Linked DNA regions of Drosophila melanogaster. The protein of the gene in region 1 interacts with the protein of each later gene in a pairwise test. Each region holds a gene or a part of one and is shown in the gene's direction. Other genes may lie near its edges. The genes, in order: Galphas and Sam-S.

What was found.
Region 2: the proteins of Galphas (region 1) and Sam-S interact in a two-hybrid assay, tested with the Drosophila melanogaster proteins (one large-scale study listed by BioGRID).

The regions. Positions count from the first base shown.
Region 1 is NT_033778.4:23,936,757-23,948,993, forward strand, and holds Galphas (G protein alpha subunit s), read left to right. Parts: upstream 1-5,781; 5' UTR 5,782-5,845; exon of another isoform or gene 5,846-6,058; intron 6,059-7,220; exon of another isoform or gene 7,221-7,473; 5' UTR 7,474-7,708; coding exon 7,709-7,984; intron 7,985-8,050; coding exon 8,051-8,147; intron 8,148-8,203; coding exon 8,204-8,324; intron 8,325-8,939; coding exon 8,940-9,068; intron 9,069-9,141; coding exon 9,142-9,321; intron 9,322-9,380; coding exon 9,381-9,505; intron 9,506-9,681; coding exon of another isoform or gene 9,682-9,690; coding exon 9,691-9,764; intron 9,765-9,844; coding exon 9,845-9,991; 3' UTR 9,992-10,180; downstream 10,181-12,237. Other genes in the region: CG3735 (uncharacterized protein), read right to left, coding at 712-1,847, 1,903-2,607, 2,665-2,926; Taldo (transaldolase), read left to right, coding at 3,674-3,770, 4,301-4,424, 4,484-5,258; orcokinin, read right to left, coding at 10,335-10,584, 10,860-10,896, 11,596-11,641, 11,733-11,801.
Region 2 is NT_033779.5:103,855-114,396, forward strand, and holds the start of Sam-S (S-adenosylmethionine synthetase), read left to right. Parts: upstream 1-3,048; 5' UTR 3,049-3,146; intron 3,147-3,906; exon of another isoform or gene 3,907-3,910; 5' UTR 3,911-3,984; exon of another isoform or gene 3,985-4,492; intron 4,493-4,733; 5' UTR 4,734-4,831; coding exon 4,832-4,955; intron 4,956-5,739; exon of another isoform or gene 5,740-5,896; coding exon of another isoform or gene 5,897-5,939; intron 5,940-6,551; coding exon 6,552-6,629; intron 6,630-6,900; coding exon 6,901-7,023; coding exon of another isoform or gene 7,024-7,046; exon of another isoform or gene 7,047-7,150; coding exon of another isoform or gene 7,151-7,263; exon of another isoform or gene 7,264-7,483; intron 7,484-8,052; coding exon 8,053-8,165; intron 8,166-8,835; coding exon 8,836-9,515; intron 9,516-9,579; coding exon 9,580-9,688; 3' UTR 9,689-10,542. Other genes in the region: Nhe1 (Na[+]/H[+] hydrogen exchanger 1), read right to left, coding at 619-1,093, 1,151-1,482, 1,537-1,601, 1,658-2,061, 2,115-2,788. UniProt on the Drosophila melanogaster protein: Catalyzes the formation of S-adenosylmethionine from methionine and ATP. The reaction comprises two steps that are both catalyzed by the same enzyme: formation of S-adenosylmethionine (AdoMet) and triphosphate, and subsequent hydrolysis of the triphosphate.

The DNA.
Region 1 (12,237 bases):
ATAAATATGCATTTGGCTACTATTTTACCTCTATATGTCTAGGCCAGAACTTTTATAAGCTACCTATGTGTATATTTAAAAATGTTGATAAATGACAATGCAGCCAGGAATTTTGATTTATTTTGGGACTGGCAAATCTGGGTTTGATGCGGTTGTCAACCGCTGGATATTGTCTATTTAGGAACTCGGTATATGGTAATGGTTCCAGATTCCAGCAATCTCAAGCAATCAAGCGAAGTGATCATTTAAAAACAAATACAAACTGCAAAATAATGTTTTTTAACACTTAATTGCCTTATAAATGATAACTTTTATTGCATAATGCTCTGGCCAATCTTCCTTTATAAAAAAGGGATATTAAAGTAAAAACAGGCAAAATATATTGAATTCAAATGCATTTTGAATCATTTCATCAATCGGCAAAACACTACTTATGCTGCCTCTTATTACACAACCATTTGCCAATTATTCATTTTTTCATAATTTCAAATTGCGTAATAACAAAGAGAAGACATCGCCACCCTTAACATCAGATCAATCACCTAGCCAGTTCCTCCTAAAATCTCTACGTCACGAAAGTATTTAGGTCCAAAAATAGAGCCACAACTGAAAGTTATCACATACATTACTATTTACTTGCGTTAACATTTAGTATATTCTAATTGACAACTAAATATGTACATATTTCAAAGTCAGCTCTCGTGTAAGCATTTACGTTTTGGTGGAGAAAAGGTAGGAATCCTTTTGACCAGAAGTCAATTTCGCAGCATTCTCACTGCCCACAATGTTACTCAAGCTTAGCAGATCGTACTTTGTGTACAGGATACTGACGGACATTTCGTCCCCAAATCCATCGCGCGGATTTTGATTTGTCTTCAGCATCAGATTGATGATCTCGGAATAGAAGTGCGGAAAGTTGGGCGGCTGGTACATGATCAAGTTCCGGATGCCCTTAATCCGCGTGCGCCGGAAGAAGTGCGCTCTTTCCGAGTACAACAGAACAGATGCCCCGCTGTGGAAGAATATATCTCTCGCCCGGGAAATCTTTTCTTTCTTGGTGTACTCATTTATCTGCACAAAACTGACCATTTCGGTCTTGAAATGGTTGCGTATCCGTACGTAGTCAAAGTAGCTGGGCACGTATAGCATACAGTGCGAGAAACCGGGCTTACTGAATTGGGGCATAATATTCTTGACGAAGTACTGGAACCGATCGTCGAAGGTCGTCTCCACACTGGAGCAATTGATTAGGCGGAAAACCTGATGTATTGGAGTCAGAACGTTCCGGATGTCTCCGTGCTCGACGAGGTTCGAGTCTCGCACCTTTCCCTGGTAGTTGTTGCACTTGCTGTTGAACACTGCCCGGAACTCGGGCAGCTCGTGGGACGAGAAGAACAGGGTTTGGCGGTAGAAACTTGACGCTCCACTCAGGCACCACGTTCGTACCCTCTGGCAATTCGTATCGGGCAGCTTCTGCGGCTGCAGGTGCAGGTGGTCCAGGGAGTGCAGCAGGTTCTCCCAGTTCTGCGCCAGGAACAATTCGGCTTGGTCGATTATCAGCAGTTCAATGGAGTTCAAAAAGTCAAAATCGCTCTCCTTGTCCGTAACCAGCATTCTCAGTCCCAAGGGAGACGCGATCAACATGTCCGATGCGTTCATATCGGAGAATAGGGACATGGTTTTCTTTGTAAAACGAATACCTAGTTTGAAGTTGTCATCCGTGTTGCCACTGAATGTTTGCTCATAATCCATTGGCTTTGGGTTGGTTTTGGGGAAGTAAATCGTATTCCCGGAGTAATCTCCCAGGAAGCGTTCATAGTTCGCGATCGAGGTTTTCCTGGCCTGATCTGTGAAGGACATTTAATGGTAATACAGGTTCTTTGCTATCAACGGGTGACTTACCATCTTGACTGCCAAAGAGTAGATCTCCGAGTATATTTACAATCCTTAGAGCCGATTCCCTGAAGGGCACTACAAAAACGACCTTCATCCGCTTAAGCCCTTGGTCCCTGAAGCTCTCTGGTATAGAGATTTCGTTGGGCGACATTTTTTGTGACTTGGCCAAAGCCGAAACCTTTTCGTTGTTGCGCAATATCAGTGATCTGACTTTCAGCATGTGGTTCAGGGCGTGCAGGCAGTATACATAGCGAATATCCTCGGCATTGCCATGAGTTCGATGGGGATAGTATATATCTTGGTAGTTATTGGCGATGTAGAAGAGCTGGGACTGCAGGGCAGTGAGTGGCAGTTTGGCGTTTGCACAAATGGACGCCTTCACCTCCAACTTTTGCAGATCTTCCGTGCTTGCAATGTCCTTGGGCTCGCTGCAGTCGGGCTCCTTGAAGTCCTCAGTCAGTCGTGGTATATCGAACCTTACATTCCCCAGAGCGGACCAGTTCCTCTTGATTGTTTTAACATCCTTTCTCGCAATCAAATCGTTGATATTATCCGTAGATAGCTCAAAATCGAAGCGTTTCGAAAACGAATTGTATATTTCCAAGTCGACACCTAACTGCTCGGAACGCTTTTCCTTTTTGGGTTTGATCTTCCTGGGCACGGGAATAACGTGATCCTCTTCCTTCTCTGCTTTTGAGCGTAGGATGTCACCTGGAAACGATATTCTTAGTTAGTCATGGGCACATTTTTGTCCATTGCAAGGGCTACTTGTGGGTATGTTATTAACACCAGTTATGAGCTTTTTATAGAACTCAGTCTCGTCCACATCATCCTGGATCTCCGGCAACAGCTCCGCCACGGGCTCATATTCCTGTTTCGGTGCTGTGGGCATTCGTTCCCTGCGGTGGGACTCCTCCATTTGCTTGCTCCTCTGGATGAAACTGTAGTTCTTCGAGAATCTCTCATTTCGCCGGGCGGGCGTTGGTTTCTTGTAGGGCTTCGCCCTGTTCTTCGAGTGTTTTTGTTTCATTTTAAACTGTTTGTTACCGAGTATCTTTCGCACACACGTGTGGATCAACAAACATCTGGATTGGTGAAGGAATCCGATACACAGACATATCGATAGCTCCTAGAGATGGCGTGTGGTGAATTTAAAGCCGGTAAAGCTAATTCATTTGAAATTTATAATCTAAGCCATGTTTTTTTAGGAAATCACATAAATTTGCTATGAAACCCCAGTAGGTGACCAACGATGAATTGATTTCTGGCATATAAATATCAAAAAATTGTCTAAGATATGACTTTTGAAGCGGTCAAATATGGTGATTTTCCGATTTGAAGTACTGGGCGAACTGAAATCTCAGTAGGTGACCAGCCTAGTCCAAGTAAAATCAATATCATTGCACTAGAAAAATCATCTAAAAAAAATGCATACTTTTAAAATTATCGTTAGTTTACGAAAATTTTCTTCCGACCCAAAATGTTCAGCGCTTTCTGTACAAGAACGAAAGTATGCACTTATTTATTCGTCCAATTACAAGTAGATGGTTATTTATATTTAACAAGCTATTCACCTAAGATTAGCTTGAATACCTTATCATCACAGTTAAAGATTAATGTTAGGGAGCTAGTTTAAGTCTGCTTAATTGTCAGGAATCCCCCTGATGGCCCCTTATATCGATTCCTAAACCCAAGTTGGGGCTGTTCAGTATTTTTCCAGAGCCGGGCGGTATAAATTGCCGCTCCAGTGGCGGTCTTATTGCATTGAAGTTGGGCAATGGGAAGTGATCGCACGTTAAAAAAGCAAAAGATGTCGGTATTACAGGAACTCAAGAAAATCACCACAATTGTGGCTGACACCGGCGACTTTGAAGGTAAGTACGCACGCAAGGTATTTTTCTTAACAAGATGAGTCCGATTTCAAAGCTAGCGTAAGTTTGCCTCAAAAGTGGGAATCCAGAAATGCAACTAAAGCGAAATGCGAGTCTGAGCTCGAACATCCATACATATATAGAGCATACATAGAATCCGAGTCCAAAGATACATAGGATACATGGATTTATCCAAAAGATAAACATTAACGACGGGCCATCGGATCCGTCGTGTCTGCCGCAGTGAAGATCAAATAAAAGTGAAAAGCAAATCCGAGCTGACTTTAGTTTGACCTTTGGTGCTTACGTGTGTTAGAAATGTGACCGCTATAGTAAAGTGTACTATAGAATGCCACCAGAGATAAGGTTTCGGAGCAGAGTGCCAAACCTGCTCAGACATTTGAAAAGTTCAAAGATATTTTCGGTCGGGCGATTGAAAAATGAAAGTCGCTCAACAGGTTTCGAGGTCTTTCTAAAATTCGCAATGTAATTTGGCCCCGCACTTATGCAAATACTTTACACATTGCTTCCAGCCATCAACATCTATAAGCCCACGGATGCCACCACTAATCCCTCCCTCATCTTGTCCGCTTCGTCCATGGAGCGGTACCAGCCGCTGGTCCAAAAGGCGGTGGAATACGCCAAGGGCAAGAAGGGGTAAGCAGTTCACTTGGGTGTTTGCCACACAAAGCTACATAGAATACCATCGTTTGCAGCTCCGTGAGTGAGCAGGTGGCCGAGGCCATGGACTACCTGTGCGTGCTGTTCGGAACGGAAATCCTGAAGGTTGTGCCCGGTCGCGTTTCCACCGAGATCGATGCCCGCTTGTCCTTCGACACCAAGAAGAGCGTGGAGAAGGCCCTGAAGCTGATCGCCCTGTACAAATCCCTGGGCGTCGACAAGGAGCGAATTCTGATCAAGCTGGCGTCCACCTGGGAGGGCATCAAGGCGGCCGAGATCCTGGAGAACGAGCACGGTGTGCACTGCAACCTGACGCTCCTTTTCTCGTTCGCACAGGCCGTGGCTTGCGCCGAGGCCGGCGTGACCCTCATCTCCCCGTTCGTGGGCCGCATCCTGGACTGGTACGTGGCCAACACGGATACCAAGAAGTTCGAGGCGCTCAAGGACCCGGGCGTGATCTCCGTGACGAACATCTACAACTACTACAAGAAGTTCGGCTACAAGACCCTGGTCATGGGCGCCTCCTTCCGTAACGTGGGCGAAATCAAGGCCCTGGCTGGCTGCGATCTGCTTACCATCAGCCCAGCGCTGCTTAAGGAGCTGGAGAACGAGACCGAGTCGGTGGTCACCTACCTGTCCGTAAGCAACGCCAAGCTGCAGGACATCGAGAAGATCACCGTCGATGAGAGCCGGTTCCGCTGGCTGCTCAACGAGGACGCCATGGCCACCGACAAACTTTCCGAGGGCATCAGGAAGTTCGCCGTGGATACTGTTAAGCTGGAGAATTTGATTAAGACCTATCTTAAGTAGATGTTCCTCTGGGTCCGCTAGCAGGTGGAGGATGAATACATTCGTTTTTGAAAAAGACAATGATTTTATACTTTAATAAACACTACAATTAAAAGAGATGACAAGATTCAGTTGGGAGTTATGGAAATTATTAAATGGGTGAATAGGTTTGGCATGCAAATAGCATGATTACTCGTTGCAGATATGGATACGAATAATAAATACTAAAAGTTTACAAAATAAATAAAATTTGCAAATTATATCACAGATAAAGATACTTTTTTTTTGATACCTTATCATAACAACTTCAAACATGTTTTCTACACGCCCGTGTAGAATATCTATGTAAGCCTGTAGAGACGGCTGCTTATGTAAAGTATCGGACGGGTGTTTCTGGATTTCGCTATTCTACATAGCTCGGGATACTTTATTTTATTATTAATATTCGCTAAAATAGCACATCGTCATTTGGCATAGATGTTTTTGGCCCAGTAACATATCTATCTACATCACCGCCCGCACTATCCGATAGGCAGACTGACTATCGATAAAAGTATCTACTTCGTTGCATCCCTAGGTTGATACATAAAATAAAAAATATATAAAAAGTGAGTTAGTACTGGTATTAAAAGTAATTTTTAAGCTACAAATTGATGAATTGCGAGCACACAGAGACTAAGAACATTGGGAATCCGGAAAACAGTGGCTGGCGCGTCGGGTGCGATAGAATTGCCTGTTTTTCAGACCCCAAAAGTCGCTCCCAACCGAGTCGTGCACCTATAGTCTTGGCCCGAAGTTGCTCCCATGAATAAAAATGTTCGGTAATTTCACGGTAAACAATAACCATTGTCGAACGCAGGGAATAGTCGCGTTCGCACACGTAATTGCCATCGCGCAGAGATGTGATTCGCCCCTGCAGCCCCTCGATCTCGACCGACCTCCCGATTTTCGGACGTCCTGCGTCCTGCGACCTGCGACCTGCGTCCCATGTCCTTAAACCTGAAATCAGTGAAAAATCGTTCGCGCATGAATATCCAAAATACAATCCCATCCATCGAATTCAATCCATTCGAATCCAAACCAATCCAAGCAGATGCGTTGCGATGCGATTCCATTCCATTCGATTCGATTCGATCCGATTCGCGATGGTATAGGTATAATATAGTTTTTCTAACCAAGTGTCAAAGAAATGGCAAATATTTCGGATTCGGAGGCACGGAGCACTACGTATTGATATATGTACATACATTTATTTATGTACATCCATCCATTCACACATGCGAACCGAGAACTTGTGTATATATCTAAATACATACGCACGTATATACGAGTAGATACACAACGGTGTGTACTCATATCTGTGAGATATATATGTGCCCGTGTCCGTGTCCGTGCCCGCTTAGATCCCGATTCCGATGCCGATGAATTTATGTACATATATTTACATTAAAATCTGCATATCTGCCATATCTGGCATATCTGCCACCACCCCCTCCGCCTATATAGGTATATGTGTAGGGTATAGTACGTTCATCTTCCTGCGACTCCCGTCGGTCGGCAATAATTGCTAGATTAAATACTCTTAATATTCGCGTGCCTACACTCATCCGTAAACCCACATACGAGCTAATCGAATCCGAATCCGCGTATCGGACCCATCCATTCCATTCGAGCCTCAACTGCAGATGGAATTATGTTGGGTTGGTATCTCTATATACATGCGTACCTGCTGCCCAGTATGCGCGAGAGTGCCACCCTCTCCGCCCCCTTCTTCACCTGTTACACTACGCCGATGTTGTGGATGTCGATGTGAATGAGAATGTGAATATGGCTGTGAATATGGATGTGAATATGAATGTGATGAATTCCAATCGTCCGACGCGAATGTCCAACGCGAATGAACGCGCGTTGCGTGGAGTAATTTTTGATTTTGATTTTCATTCCGATTCCGATGCTATGCGAGCGCTTTTGGGACCCGAAACCCAGTGACTCACGGGACTTTCGTGGGCGGCAATGTCAGCGGCGTCGCCTTGGCTTAGTAGGCACCCATTTTGGTCGCTACACTCGCGCGTACGCGGATGATATGGGGGCACTGAAGTGGATTCGGGATTCTATGCAATCGAAATGGGTTTCTGCTGGAGAATCTCAGTTAGTGGGAATAGAAAGCTCGAGGATCGTTAGTTCTGAAAGTTCTGTTACTCATTTTTCCATCTACTATACCATTGTACGAATGCAGCCTGCTGCAGAGATCCACTGAAGCGCTGAGCCAACGCCAACGGTGGTGCCACTGAGATCGGAGATCGGAGATCGCAGACCGGAGACCGACGAGCACACAAGGGATTGTGGTTTGATCCGAGGAACCCAAGCACTCAGCTATACTGGAGCAGAACGGAGAAAGCACAAGGGGTGCCGAGTCGCCCGACGCGAACCAGGAAAACCGAGCGACGTGTTGGTGGACCCCGTGGGCTGCGATGGGTTGCTTTGGGTCGCCCACCTCCAAGCAGTCGGACGTGAACTCGGAGGACTCGAAGAGCCAGAAGCGCCGGAGCGATGCAATATCTAGACAGTTGCAGAAGGACAAACAGCTCTACAGGGCCACACACAGGCTGCTCCTCCTGGGGGCGGGCGAGTCCGGCAAATCAACCATAGTCAAGCAAATGCGAATATTGCATGTCGACGGATTTTCTGACTCGGAAAAGAAACAGAAAATTGATGATATTAAAAAGAATATTCGAGACGCTATCTTGGTGAGTTCCATCCCGCCGGCCATCTAAGCCCAAACACTTGCTTAACTCCTTGCCAATCCCTTACAGACTATTACAGGAGCCATGAGCACACTTAATCCACCTGTAGCTTTAGAAAAGAAGGAAAATGAACCCAGAGTGGAGTACATTCAGGATTATGCATCTAGTAAGAGCCTCTGCCGCCCCAACTTAAGTTGTTATCAACCATTATCTGCCCCGCAGGTCCGGACTTTAATTATCCTCCTGAATTTTATGAACATACAGAAGAACTATGGAAAGACAAGGGCGTTCTTCAAACCTATGAGAGGTCGAATGAGTATCAATTAATCGATTGTGCGAAATAGTAAGTAATGCCCACCCACATTTAACATCCTGCCATCGATGTGTTGAGCCAAACGAATAGTTCTTGTAGCACTACAAACAGATTTAATTGTTTAATTTAATTCATCTCGGAGTGCATGCCAATTGTTCTGAAAGCTTAACTATGTGTTTCACTTGGAAGTGCAGAAATTCAATGCGTTGGATCGAAAGTATGCAACTTTTAATTCTAACAAGTAATCCGCTTGATGAAGTAAACTTTAAATATCGTCGCTTTGCTGCAGTATGACTATCTGAAAGTAGAACCACAACCTAAACCTACTTTCGCATTCCATATCTGTCTGTCTGTACAATAATTACTACAATATATGGGTTTTAGAATGAGTCCAATTCTTAAAAGGAGCTAGTAGTCGAAGTAGTACCAACTACGCCATGCACATAGAAGTATCGTAACGATCATACTTTTCCAAGTTGAGAAGGCTTTTTGTTTAATTCCCCGAAGAAACAAGTTGCTAAACACCAAGTCCCAATTTTCCGTAGTTTATGCCAGCTAATCCGCATTTGTACTTGTATCTAAGCTTGATTAAGGCACTGAAACCGAATTTGTACTTACTTCTACACTTGATATTCTGCTTTGAAGCTTCCTGGACCGAGTGAGCACAATCAAGAATCCAAACTACACCCCTAATGAGCAGGATATTCTTCGGTGCCGTGTTTTGACTTCTGGAATATTTGAAACAAGATTTCAAGTGGACAAAGTAAACTTTCAGTAAGTGTAATCCCAAGTGATATCGCAATATTTTAGTTTCTATTCCATTCTAATGATGTGCATTCGCGTGCAGCATGTTCGATGTCGGTGGCCAGCGGGACGAGCGTAGGAAATGGATTCAGTGTTTCAATGATGTAACTGCTATCATATTCGTAACTGCGTGCTCAAGTTATAACATGGTTTTGCGGGAAGATCCCACCCAGAACCGACTTCGAGAATCTTTGGATTTGTTCAAGAGTATTTGGAACAACAGGTGAACCGAGCAATTTGGCGCCATCTCGACAAATGGAAACTAACGAGTTGTTCTTTCAGATGGCTTCGCACGATTTCTATTATACTATTTTTAAATAAGCAAGATTTGTTAGCAGAGAAAATTAAGGCTGGAAAAAGTAAATTGTCGGAATATTTCTCCGAGTTTAACAAATACCAAACGCCAAGTAAGTAAAATAGTATAACCCATAGTAGAGGCCAATTGAGGGCGAGGGAGTCATCAGATCAACCGACTCAGATCTGGCCAAGAAATTCGCAATTCCTTTTCAAATTTGCAAACCGTGCCCAAGTTAACTTAAGAAATTTAATGGATAATGTATTTTGTCTAATTTCAAATGTGCTGTCGACACAGGTGACGCAATAATGGAATCCAATGATGACCCAGAAGTAATACGAGCAAAATATTTCATACGAGACGAGTTTCTGGTGGGTTATATCACATCTCCGTTTCTTCCTCCACCTATCTAACTAGCCTTAATCCTTAATGGGATCTCTTTCTTATATAGCGTATATCTACCGCTAGCGGAGACGGAAAACACTACTGCTATCCACATTTCACATGCGCCGTTGACACAGAAAACATTAAACGTGTGTTTAATGATTGCAGAGACATTATTCAAAGGATGCACCTTCGTCAATATGAATTGTTATAGGTTATCCCCATCGCCGTAATGCAAGTAAATAAAAATATTAATGACTTACTGTTTTAAATATAATTATCAAATGTAATTTGTATTTAAATAGTCCCTTGATTAAAACAAAAAATTCGCTGCATTTAGATCTGGTATGACCTTTCACAAAACTCAACATTAAAGAATAATAAATAAACATGTTAATAACAGACACGCTTGTTTCGATTATTTTGGCTATTCTACCAGGATGCACCTGCTTTATTTTCTATAGTCCCTTGACATGAAGCATTTTAGAGTATTTCCGCTATCAGAGTCCGTATCCATATCCATGGGCATTTACATTCACGCGCTGTCGAAGGTATCACTAGACGAGCTGGTTGAGGATGCTGAAGCTGGCGGAGGCCTTGTCGATCTCGTCGAAGTTCCGCTTGAGCTTACTGCTCCAGGTGTCCTTGTACAGGGGGTCCATCCTCACCAGGTAGGGCACCAGGTCCCGGTGATGGCCAGACCCGATCTTGCCGGCCGCGCACTGCTTCACCGAGTACTTCGTCTTGAACTCCGACTGGCTGCACTCGTAGCAGACGACCGTTTGTCCATTGGCAGCCGAAATCAATCTGGGGATCAGGGCATATGTTTCAGTGATTGGGAAGGGGATTAGTGAGTTCAGTGAGTAATGGCAAATAGGCGGGCAAGCAGGCACTTTGGCTGCCGGTATAGCCACGTATTATTCGGATCTGTTATCTGCATATTTACATACATTATATATAGAGCCTATTTCGATAACATCCGGATAAGACCTGATAGCAGCAGCCGAGTCTCAGATATCTGATAGTACTACATATAAACCTGTCGCACGATGGGCATATTCACGTGCCACCATATCACTCACCTCACTATAAACGGTCCATCGTACTTCTTCGAGCCAGCTTTTTGGGGCAGCATGTGTTAGCGGTGGTAAGGGATTAGTGTAAGTCTAGATTTTTGGAATTTACATGAATGACTCTCCTCTGGAGGGCGAAAGTAAAACTCTTTACAAATGCAATAATTTATTAACAATTAGGAGCTACATCATTTTATATGCACATATAAAATAAAGACCAGGCTGCTTATTTACATTTCAGTTTCATTTCGGTCCTCGATATTGTCAAAGTCAATGGAGTGGTGCGGAAGCGGAAGCGGAAGTTGGGAATGTGGCGGTTTCTAGTCGCTTAGGAACTGTCTACTCTGCGTCCGCTTTATCAAATGACCGCCACCAATGCTGTCCAAGCCGCGCTTCGAAACCGTTCTCGAGAAGCGCTCTTGCAAGGACTCGGGGCTCTTGTTTTTGGACAGAAATATATTTACATTTCGTTGGAAGAGTTTGTAAAACTCGTTAAACAACGGCGATGTGGAAAGGTCGTCGTTGGGAAGTCCGGTTTGTCGTAAACTCACGCTGTTTCCGTTACACAATTCTCTTAACGCTGGCAGATCTGATCGAAATCGAAATCGAAATAATAAGAAATTAGGACTTAATGGCTTTGTACAAAAGCTAAGCTGTTGGTTATGATAATTAAAAAGTTCGAGTATATATATGTACATATATGTACAAGTTGGTTCTCAGTATGTGTTCAATGGCTCGTTGTTACCTTCACAAAGATATTTTCCATCCAGCAGTTCGTCGTTGGAAATATCCTAAAACATAGTTAGCTATAGTAATTGTAATCCGTTTACAGAAGCCCGTAGCTTTCCACTGGATATTCTCGAAAGCACTTCAAAAACGTACCACACCGGGCGCTGCGTGAATGAAGTTCAGGAACACCGATACCACCGCCAGGAGCACATATAGATTCATGATTCCAGCCGTTGACCGTTAGCCTGGTGCACTTGGGAGCGATTTGAAGATGACTGTGCCGATTTGCCGCGCCGCAGTTCGTTTTATACCCGATTCGGGGCAAACATCCTCTGACTTAAACAGGGTGATGGCAAATTTATGATGCAGATAACCACCGACGACAGCTAAAAGACCGCAGGAACGCACCCGTTATTAACGGCTTAGTGGCTCGATGGCTTGATGGCTCTGGCTCTATGGTTCGGTGGCCGTGGGTTGGGTGGGCCAGTTCGGTCTCCTTTATGCTCTTAATGCGTCACTTGCACCATATTTCTAGCCACTAATGGTAAGTACTCCCACAAACAGAGCGAGAGTGTCAAGATTTCAGCAAACATGCGTGCACTCGCACATATGTTCGATTATTAGATTTAATTTTCATTTGCACGACACCATAAATGTC
Region 2 (10,542 bases), on another chromosome or scaffold:
CGATTTTTGTACTTCGTTTGCAGTCCGCAGTGATTCAAACTCCACGGTGCTCGGTGAAGAGTCCACGCACGAAGAATTGTAAAAGTAACCAAAAACGCACACCTTTTGTAGCCAATTTTACTTTAATAGGTAATATTATCAATTGATATGTAATTATAAATTAGAATTTCAAAAAGCAGGGCATGACCATATTTTTTTACACGTACCACACTTAGATATTTATTTGGTTTCAAAAATGTATAAAATCACAAATACAGCATATATTCGTATGAATAAATATTTTTAACTAAAATTACTGACGTAGTGTGCTTTTGTGACGTCCAAATTTTCATTTTGAAGACCATCTGTCGTGTGCAATGTAATACTGCTTTAAGCGGATTAATAAAGGAGCTACAGTGATACGAATGAATCATTGCATTTGGATCTTACAAAATGAAAATTTGTAAACAAAAAATATACACAAGATAACAACCATCACCGCGCTATATAAATAAAAACTCTAAAAATATTAACTAGAGGAACTTAAGCATTACATACGATCGTTCCCTTTGGCTTCTAAAGTTATCCAACACAGTCCGAAACGGATACAGAGCTCCCCCCACAACAGCCATTTAATCCCTACGACCGTGTCAAATGAATTTGACTTGTGCTGGCCGCTAGTCCTATCTCTTCGTCCGATTCATCTGAATCCAATGGACTCACTCGAATGGCTTGGTACCACTTGTTAGTCAGGTCGGCCATCTGTGACTTGCACTCGTGCAATTCCTGACTATTGAACCGACGTGTAAAAAACGGAATAAAGTACTTGCGATCCATGCGCCCAAAACGATCGCGCGCTTGAGTAAAGGTGACGTCCTCTTCCTCGGTGAGTTCAGACAAGTGTTCAGAGTCGATTGCCTGGCCCCATTCGCGAGTTTTCGATAGGGAAATAGATTTTGAACGCTTCCTACCGCTGCCGTTGCGTCGACCTCCCTCCTCAGCGGCATTCCTTCCAGAGCCGCGTGCCCGCCGTTTTTTTCCTGGCTTAAGGTACTTTAGCAGAGGCATTGTGGAGCCCCCCAGCACTAGCGTGGTAAATAGCACAATGATTAATCTGAAATTTTAATTCTTCAATGACTGAGCATTATTTTACAATCCGGAATATGCTTACGTTGTTGTTATGATGACGTGTCGTTTCTCCTGGCTGTCAAGATTCAAGTGCAAAGATAGCGCGTAGGAAATCGCTCCGCGTAGGCCAGAAAACCACATAATGAACTGCATCTTGTTATTGATCTTATGCTCGCGAAATTTGTTGACCAAGAACGCGAGCGGAAAAATATTGCAGGCGCGGCCAATTAAGCAAAGCACAATGGCCCATATAACAAAAGATAGTTCAACTTGGTGTTTAAAAGAAAAGATTGCTAATCCCAGATAAGCAAACACGCAGGTCTCAGCAATGAAAGCTAGTGTCCTCATCGTCTGCTGCATGGTAATTTGGGTAACCTACGATTAAAAAAGTTTTAATAATATATAAAATAGGGATATCATATGACTTACAGTGGATAGGTTGAAATGCGTGTAGTGGGACATGACGATTCCGCAAAATAGTATAGCCATAATACCTATAGTTGAAAAAAATGTTTAGCTTTTAGAGTCATAGTCAACAACATTGATATACCGCTTAAGTGTATTCCCTCTGCCAAGACGTAAGGTGCGTAAGTAAACATTAGCATCATCGCGAACTCGAGGGATGGATGCTTTCGTAAATCGATGTGCTTCAGAAGAAGAGCCGAAATTAGTGCAAATATGACTCCAATGCCCGCCGAAGCAAAGAACATCGCGCAAAAGGTCTTCAACGCGCTGAACATGGCTTCTCCAGTGCTGGCCTCAGCATTGACGTTAGCGGATTGGGTTATGGATGCAGTCAGCACAATAGATATGGCGTCGTTGAGGATGCTTTCGCCGAATACCAACATGTTGAGTATGGGGTCTACGTCAAGAGCATGGAAAATTGCCACTGTTGCCACAGGATCAACAGCAGAGATGAGAGAACCGAAGGCAAAGGATTCCGAAAAGCTTAGGCTAAAATTTAGGATAAATTATTGAATGAAATTGACAATTTATTTTAAACTTGCCGAAATGCCACCTCCCCCAGGCCCAGCAGGTAAATCCCCGCCCCGATGACTAGTGCAGAAATTGTTGTACCGAATATGGCAAAGACCAGTATGGATCCGATGTTCTGAAAGAAGTTTCCCTTGTGCAGATTGTAACCGGACTCGAATATAATGGGCGGCAGGAGCACCAGAAAGAAGCCCATGGGCGAGAAGACCTCTTCACGTTTCCAACTGCCATTCTGCCCAGACATAACGTTCAGCGAAAGGCCAATAAAGGCGCCCAGAAAGACTACCACAATGCTTTCTGGCAGGTACTGGAACCCGGTCTGGAGCATAGAGTGGATAAGCAGGATGCCCAACATGATAACGCAGATGACGAAAAACAGTGAGAGTGAGGAGTTGTGCTCCTGCTCGACAGCATGGGAATCGATTAGAGGCGGATCTGTGACCAATGTGGATGCGTTTCCCCTTTTCGTGGTGCTTGCATTACCAGATGCAGAAATCGAGGGCGTGACATTTCCAAGCGGACTGTTGACGAAGACATCCGAAACGGTGTGGATAGAGCTACTATTATCTGTAGTGGTGGTGTTGCTTGATGTTTTGCTTTGGGGCACCTCCTGTCCACTGATGCTTTCCGGACCCGCGTGCACCAACAGTAAGAGTGCAGCTGCACTATAAGCTACCCAAACCCTCATTTTTGCCGACAAAACGTGACGTGGTCGCTATTAACGCTCGCATTTAACTTTTCACTATTTGTTCAATTTGTTTTTTCACAAACATCTGTTTATCGCCCTATCTGACGTATATCGGGGAGAGTTGCCGTATCATTTTGGCTTATTGGCGCGTGCCTTTCATATATTCAAAAGAAAATTGTGCACTTAATTGCGTGCAGTATATTTTACCATATAATGAATTTATTTAAATAATTGGCTTTTGCCCAGTCATTGTAGCTGATAGCTCTTGTGAAGTGTCTTGAAAATTGAGCATTTTAAGTTTAAATATTTTTGTCTACGTATTGAGAACGTTTCTTACGGCAAAAAGAAAATTATATATGTATTAGAAAAGTGAAATAATAAAAAACCTTGTTATTGGCAAAGTGATAAATTGTTTAGTTAAGGCTATTACAATAACTGACGATAAATCAGTAAAATAAATGCATTGCCACAATCTACAGTTCGCAAGCACCCACCATTTGTGCTCAAGAATAATGTGCCCTGCGCATCTGTTCGTTCAGGCACACGCGATCTTCTTAGGCCCCGTGGGGTCACACCTTATTTGAAAGATAATGGGGCTTGTTGTTTTCGGTTATATTCAGTGGGTATTAGAATTTTAAAAAATGTACATGCAAAAACTGATTACCAGGCTCCTTGATCTTGGCAGACCTTGTTTGTCTTCTTGGCTGTGGCATGACGTAAGCACTTTTTCAAAAGCACAAATTGTTCGAATAGTATGAGAACCCTAATTGACGACTTTCCTTGACAAGATAGTGTCGAACGATCCATCTCCAAAAGGGCAGTCACTCCATGTTAGGGAAAAGCTAGGGTTTCAACAGATACAGACATTCGTTTAAAAATTCGCTTCGAATTGCGCTTCGTGTAGCGATTGTCTATATCATCGAATATGTATATGTCAATTGCTGTACATAAGAGAAGCCGAGAGAGCAATGCTAAACAGATTTTAAAAATTAGGTATATAGGTGGCTGCCGTGGTAGCACATAGTTTTGTTCTGATAAGCTCTTATTTCTTGCCGACTCATCTTCTCAAATGCTGTCTACAAAAATTTATAAATATTATTCGTCTGTAAAAATCATCCGCAGTTGAACGCAGGTTGAGCAGGAAGCTAGTCGAGACTATAATCCATATCTTGTCTGATCCTTTGTTCAAAACCACAGTGAGTATAAAATAAAGGATCTGGATCTAGATTCACTACAGTTCACTCCGGAGCGGGGTGGCAACGCTGGGCGGCGGAACAGCTGCTTAAAACCCAAAAACGTGGAGATACTGAAGAAGTAAAATCATTTGAGAGTACCGAGAACGCTAGGAAAGTTTCCCTAAAGAGCGCCCAAATAAGTCTCAAAATAATAATCGAGTCAGCCGAAGAGAACCGCCTCCTCCGTTTGCGACGATAAGCAAAAGCCCGCTCTCTCGTTGGAGGTATAAATTCTGAATGGCATTAAAAAGTTGCGCTCTTTTTCTTCAGAACCGTCGCTAAGATAGGACGTGTGTTGGCTGCGCCGCTGATTTGGTTGCCGTCGCTGAACCAGTATAACTCAGAATCAGTGTGTATAATTTGTTGAACTAATAGCTAGAACGTCGAACACGCATTTTAAACAGCTAGCAGCACCGAGCCCTCACCTAGCGACTAGTTTAGCTTTGAACCCGCTCAACGTGCGTCTCATGTATGTAGCGACGATTGTGGCAAACGCGCAGCATAAAAACATAAAAGAAGGGCGATTATATAAAAAAAACTATAACGAAAAGTGTGCGAATACCGGAAAATCCCAACAGCCTCGAGGCGGCCTATAGCTTAGATTCGCGAATGCGAAAATAGATGTGTTTTGCAAGAGTTCGGAAAATCAATTTCGTTAAGCGTTTTTTAACAACCGCTAATGTGGCCTCTCTTTCTCTCTGTTCCCCCAGCTCCACCAACAATTTAGCCGACCGGAACTCGGGTTATAGCACTGCTCCCCCATTGCCCCTTCAAACTTCGAGTTACATATTACAAACTACCCATCAACATGCCGCAAAAGACAAACGGACATAGCGCCAACGGATGCAACGGCAGCAATGGCAACTCATATGACATGGAAGACGGAGCTACATTCCTGTTCACTTCCGAGTCCGTTGGCGAGGGTCATCCAGGTGAGTGCTTCATTGCATCTGCGGCGCCTCCTATTGCATCATACCGATAGTGTCAGTGTAAAAAAAGAAACAATCTCAAATGCCCCTTCGGGCGTGGTGAGAGATGTTGCCTGTCAGTTCTCATAACCTGACCAAACTGATTCTCTAGCGTCTGAGGCCCTTCTGTCTGAAGTCCCTTTCCCTGTATACCCAGTTCCACACCTCCACCGTCTACTCACTTCTGCTTACCGCCTGAACTCTAACAAAATGGCGACGAAATTATGTCCATACCTTTGTTGATTTCTACCCAATTTGCACGACTTGAACAGAGGCTGAGAACGGGAAGAAGAGCTAGTAAAACGTGCCTCTGTTGCATCGCCCGGTGACCAAGCCGGAAAGCTGGGACCACGGAGAACAGCTGGCTTCTCTTGAAATCCCCGCACAACAGCGGGCTAAACCTTGTGCTTGGATGGGCAGACGCAATTAATAGACTGGTTCTTTATCGTTTGCGGCTCTCACATATGTATGTATGTGTGTACAGAGAGACTACGTCATGCGCACCATGTGCTTGTGGCTCATGGGAGATGCGAAATTCAAGTATTCTCTACGTTGTTCTACGTTGTCCACGCACTTGTTCATTTGATCGCAGATGGCGATCAAAACAACGGCCAACACAAACATACCTTACATTTTTCTAGACCGCTGTCAAAGCTTATTTTTTTCACCGAAATTGCCAACCACGTGTTTTGCTCGAGCTCGATCTTTTCGCCCCTCCCAGAGTTTGTTTATATCAGCAGTGGCGACCAGTATAGTAGTGTGTTTGACAACAGCTGTTGATAAGCCGAGCGACCTTTTATACTACGCATTGATTACTTTTACTATTCTATACTATTTTATTTTATAATGCTAATTAAGTCGGCTTGGCAAGCTAGCCCTAGACAATCTAGCCCTATACAATCGTGATGATAAGCGCCGAGTGCCATTCAGAAGAATACACCCCAAATGGTTGACATTAATATCGCCTGTCTTTTTGTAATAAATGAGTGACGGACTTGTTAGAATAGATAATTAGACTAGCCGGAAATTGGAAACCCTGAAACCCATTTCAGAGTAGCTACTTTAAACCCTTGACCTAACTAGTTTCCTCGCAATCATTATCCCAGCCGAAATCGATACCATGCGCCATTTCTATGAGTCAACAGTTTTGGTAATTTATGTTGCTATTGCTGACGCATGTTCGAGTTCAATAACGCCTTTACTACGAAAAGTAGCCGAATGTTGACGGACTCCAATTACGCGCCAAGTTTTGAGGCAAGCGCGAGCAACCCGACTGGTATCAGATGAATCCGACTCCCAGGATTTCATGGACGATTCGGCTTCAAATGTCATCATTTTGTGTTTGGACAACACTACGGTCGCCTTATGCTCTTGTTCTGGGAATTGAATTTCGCTGTCAATAGCAGACAGATTAAATGAAACCGCATGGCCCAGCAAATTTTGATCCGTCGCACTGAATAACATTTTGGCCCGTTCCTCCTTCCACTCCCCGACAAAAATGCTTTCCCCTCCTTCTTCGCCCACCTCTGGCTTACCTCTTGCTTACCTTATTTTTTTTAGACAAAATGTGCGACCAAATCAGCGACGCTATCTTGGATGCCCATCTGAAGCAGGATCCAAACGCGAAGGTGGCGTGTGGTAAGTGTTATGAAACCTGGAGTACATGACTGCTCTGACCCAAAATCAGATTTATATTAAATTCGGCCAATGAAGGTGCGCTGACCAACAATAAATAATCTCATTCATAGAATTAATCAAGAATCACCGTGAGTGCCATTCTTTTTGAAGTTGACTTATTCGATAGCGCCAACATAAAAAAACAAGGTCAAACCACCGGCAAATCTGTTTTTGGATTACCTGAAAAAGTTGCCGAAATTTCTTTTAACACATTCCATAATATTTAATACAGAAACCGTCGCCAAGACGGGCATGATTCTGCTGTGCGGCGAGATCACGTCTAAGGCTGTGGTCGACTACCAGAAGGTTGTTCGTGAGACAGTGCAGCACATTGGTTATGATGACTCCTCCAAGGGTAAGTGTCTATTAGGTACATAAACAATTTGTGGGCGGGTATTACAATTCGTTCCCTACGTCGGTCCTACGAACAATACTGTCAACTCAATATTAAATAACAATAAAATCAAATAAAAATCAAAAAGGTTTCGATTGGAAGACACTTAACCTGCTTGTAGCCATCGAGCAACAGTCGCCCAACATTGCCAACGGCGTTCATATCAACCGCGAAGAAGAAGACGTCGGCGCTGGTGACCAGGTACAGCAAAGCTTTCCGTTCTTCTACTACCGCCTAGCACTAAGTGATGCGGAGTGTGTGCGTTCGTTCGTTTCGTTTCATTTGTTAAGTGTTTCCCTTAATTCGTATCTTTCCCACATTAACTTGGCTTGCTCACAGGCCAACAAGAGTTTCGCCTTTGTCATTAAAAGCTGATGAGCAATAGGAATACTATTACTATAACTATTTTTTCTTAAGCCCCAAAAAAAATCAAATTGACTTGTTTCCCACAGCTACGAACCATTTGGTCGAAGACAACTTAACAATTTCACCTCAAGCAAATATATAACGACTGAAATACATAACATATCACACATTTGGATTACACTGCGGGCGTTCTCTAACCACATAAATTGCATTCAACCAAATCCATTGAAAGATTTATGTAATCATTAAAATTCCGCTAGTTACCGTTTTATGGAAGCAAGAGAAGTCTTGCATGCGGCTTGTCTGACCTATGGAAGAAGGCTTAAAGTTTTCCCAGACTTTGGTATATAGAAAAAACACCAAGAGAGTGCTTATGAAGATTGTAGAAAATACATTTTTTTGTAAACCGTTTTTATATATATAATTATAATCTAAAATAATAGGGTGTTTAAAATCATATTATGAACATTACTTACAGACATTTTCCTGTGTATGTGCACCATTGCTGCGCTTCTCTCTTTTATCTTTCTTTTCGTTTCATATTAAACCAATCTCGATACAATCCAATACCAAACTTTAAACGATATTGTGCACTTCGCAATCGCGCTTCGAAATTCACAAAAGGTTTCGATTTCAAAACGTGCAATGTGCTGTTGGCATTGGACCAACAATCGCCTGAGATCGCTGCGGGAGTGCATGTCAACCGTGCCGAGGAAGAGATCGGTGCCGGAGATCAGGTGTGATTTAGAAGCAGTAAAGAAGTAGCAGTCTCGGCAGGCCGGGATCGAAGGCCCTTTCCGAAGAGCAACGCATCTTTTTAATTTTTATTGATAGCAATTTAGTTGCGACTAAAATATTCATGGTGGTAGGGCGTTTATAAGCTCTTTGGAAGGGGTGTTGTCGCCACTTCTATAATTTCTGTTTATCGTTTCCTTTATATATTTTCGTAACTAATTGAAGTAGTGTATGACGACTTTATTGCTATTTAATTTTAAATTCATCTGTTTGCCACTATATCATAATAGCGCTGCAATATTGCTCCAACCGACCTACCAACCATATGATCGTCTTTTTTGTTAATTGAAGCTGCCAAATCCATATCATTTAACTTTTGACTTTTCAGTCGATACCATAATTAGAATAGCAGACACAAAACTAAGGCACACTACTGCATATATATACATCACTAACATAATTTTGTAAACAACTTTTTGACTCCTAAGTAGCAACAATTAATTCATACCCGAATCTATCACCCATGCTTGATTTACCCTTTCCTAACCCAAATGTGTTTTATTTATCTAACGCTACTGATTCTTTTTGGTTTTGGTTACTTTTAAGTGAATAATTAATGATTAATTAATTAGTGATAGAGATTATTAATGAAGCGAAATAAACTTTTTGCAGGGTATCATGTTTGGATATGCCACCGACGAAACCGAGGAATGTATGCCCCTAACCGTCGTTTTGGCTCACAAACTAAACGAAAAGATTGCTGAGCTGCGTCGCTCAGATGTGTTCTGGTGGGCTCGCCCCGATTCCAAAACACAAGTAACCTGCGAGTACCTCTTCAATCAGGGATCAGCAGTTCCCAAGCGTGTCCACACTATTGTAGTGTCCATGCAGCATTCTGAAAAGATATCGTTAGAAACCCTGCGCTCGGAAGTAATGGAGAAAGTTGTTAAAGTAGTCATTCCCGCCAAATACATTGATGCCAACACCATTGTCCACATCAATCCTTGTGGGCTTTTTGTAATCGGTGGACCAATGGGTGACGCTGGGCTTACAGGAAGAAAAATCATTGTAGATACTTACGGAGGCTGGGGCGCCCACGGCGGCGGTGCATTCTCTGGCAAGGACTTCACCAAGGTTGACAGATCAGCTGCATATGCAGCACGCTGGGTGGCCAAATCACTGGTTAAGGCCGGTCTCTGCAAGCGCTGCCTTGTCCAAGTGTCCTACGCCATAGGTCTTGCTGAGCCTCTCTCCATAACTGTGTTCGACTACGGAACTTCTCACAAGTCACAAAAAGAACTTCTGGATATCATCCGTCGAAACTTTGACCTCAGGCCCGGCAAGATTGTCAAGTAAGTGTCAAACTCTAGATGCTAAAAAATATTTCATAACAATTGTCTATATTTTTGTTTTAAGGGACCTAAACCTGCGCCAGCCGATATACCAGCGAACAAGCACTTATGGACACTTCGGTCGCGCGGGCTTCTCGTGGGAGGAGGCCAAGCCTCTGGAGATTGACAACTGACTAGACGCTGAAGCGTTGCAACCGCAGTCACCATATGCTAAAAGGTCGAAGCTATCCTTATATTCATCAGCGTCAAAATTAACAGATACCCAAGCACCAACGTAATTTTTAGTGTCGTTTTTAAAGCCTAAAGTCAGAGGAGAAGGCGGCATAGGCTTGCCAACTCTTATGGGCTTTCTTCTCTAACTTATGCTGTGCTCTTCGCTATATAATTTAAACCATTCTGATGTGTGTAGTCTTCTCACACGGAACTAGTTTTAGTCGTCTTAATACCCGCATATATACCTAATAGAGAGCTCCAAAAGAATTGATGAGCTTTAGTTATGCATATACATAGTATAGTGTCGGTCAGTTCAGTAAAAATTAAAGCAGTAGTTAGTACCTCCTTCAATTATCATGCAACTTAATTATGTTGGTGTCTATGGAAATTGTATAAAACAATTAAATCCGTTGCCTAGAAATTATGCAACATTCTCATGTCCCCATTGTAAACTTATTTTTGTCTCTTTTAACATTTCTATTTGTTGTATGCGTTGTATATGTTAAACCTAAAGTTTTAAACAACTCGATTGTATGTACATTACACTCTGTCTTTGTATTTTCTGTAACCAACCATAAGATAATGTATTTTCCTTTACAAAAATATATTAAAGATAAATATGAAAAGTATAATTTTACCGGTATGCGCAGAATGAAGACTTTAATCGTACAAACAACAGAATTTGCAATGTCTTTACAACCAAATAAAGTCATCATAACCCTGGTTTTTCACAAAAACATAATGAGACAGCGCCCATAAAAAATTACAAATATTTGTGTACAAGAAACCCAATTTTCTTTAAAAGAAATCATTT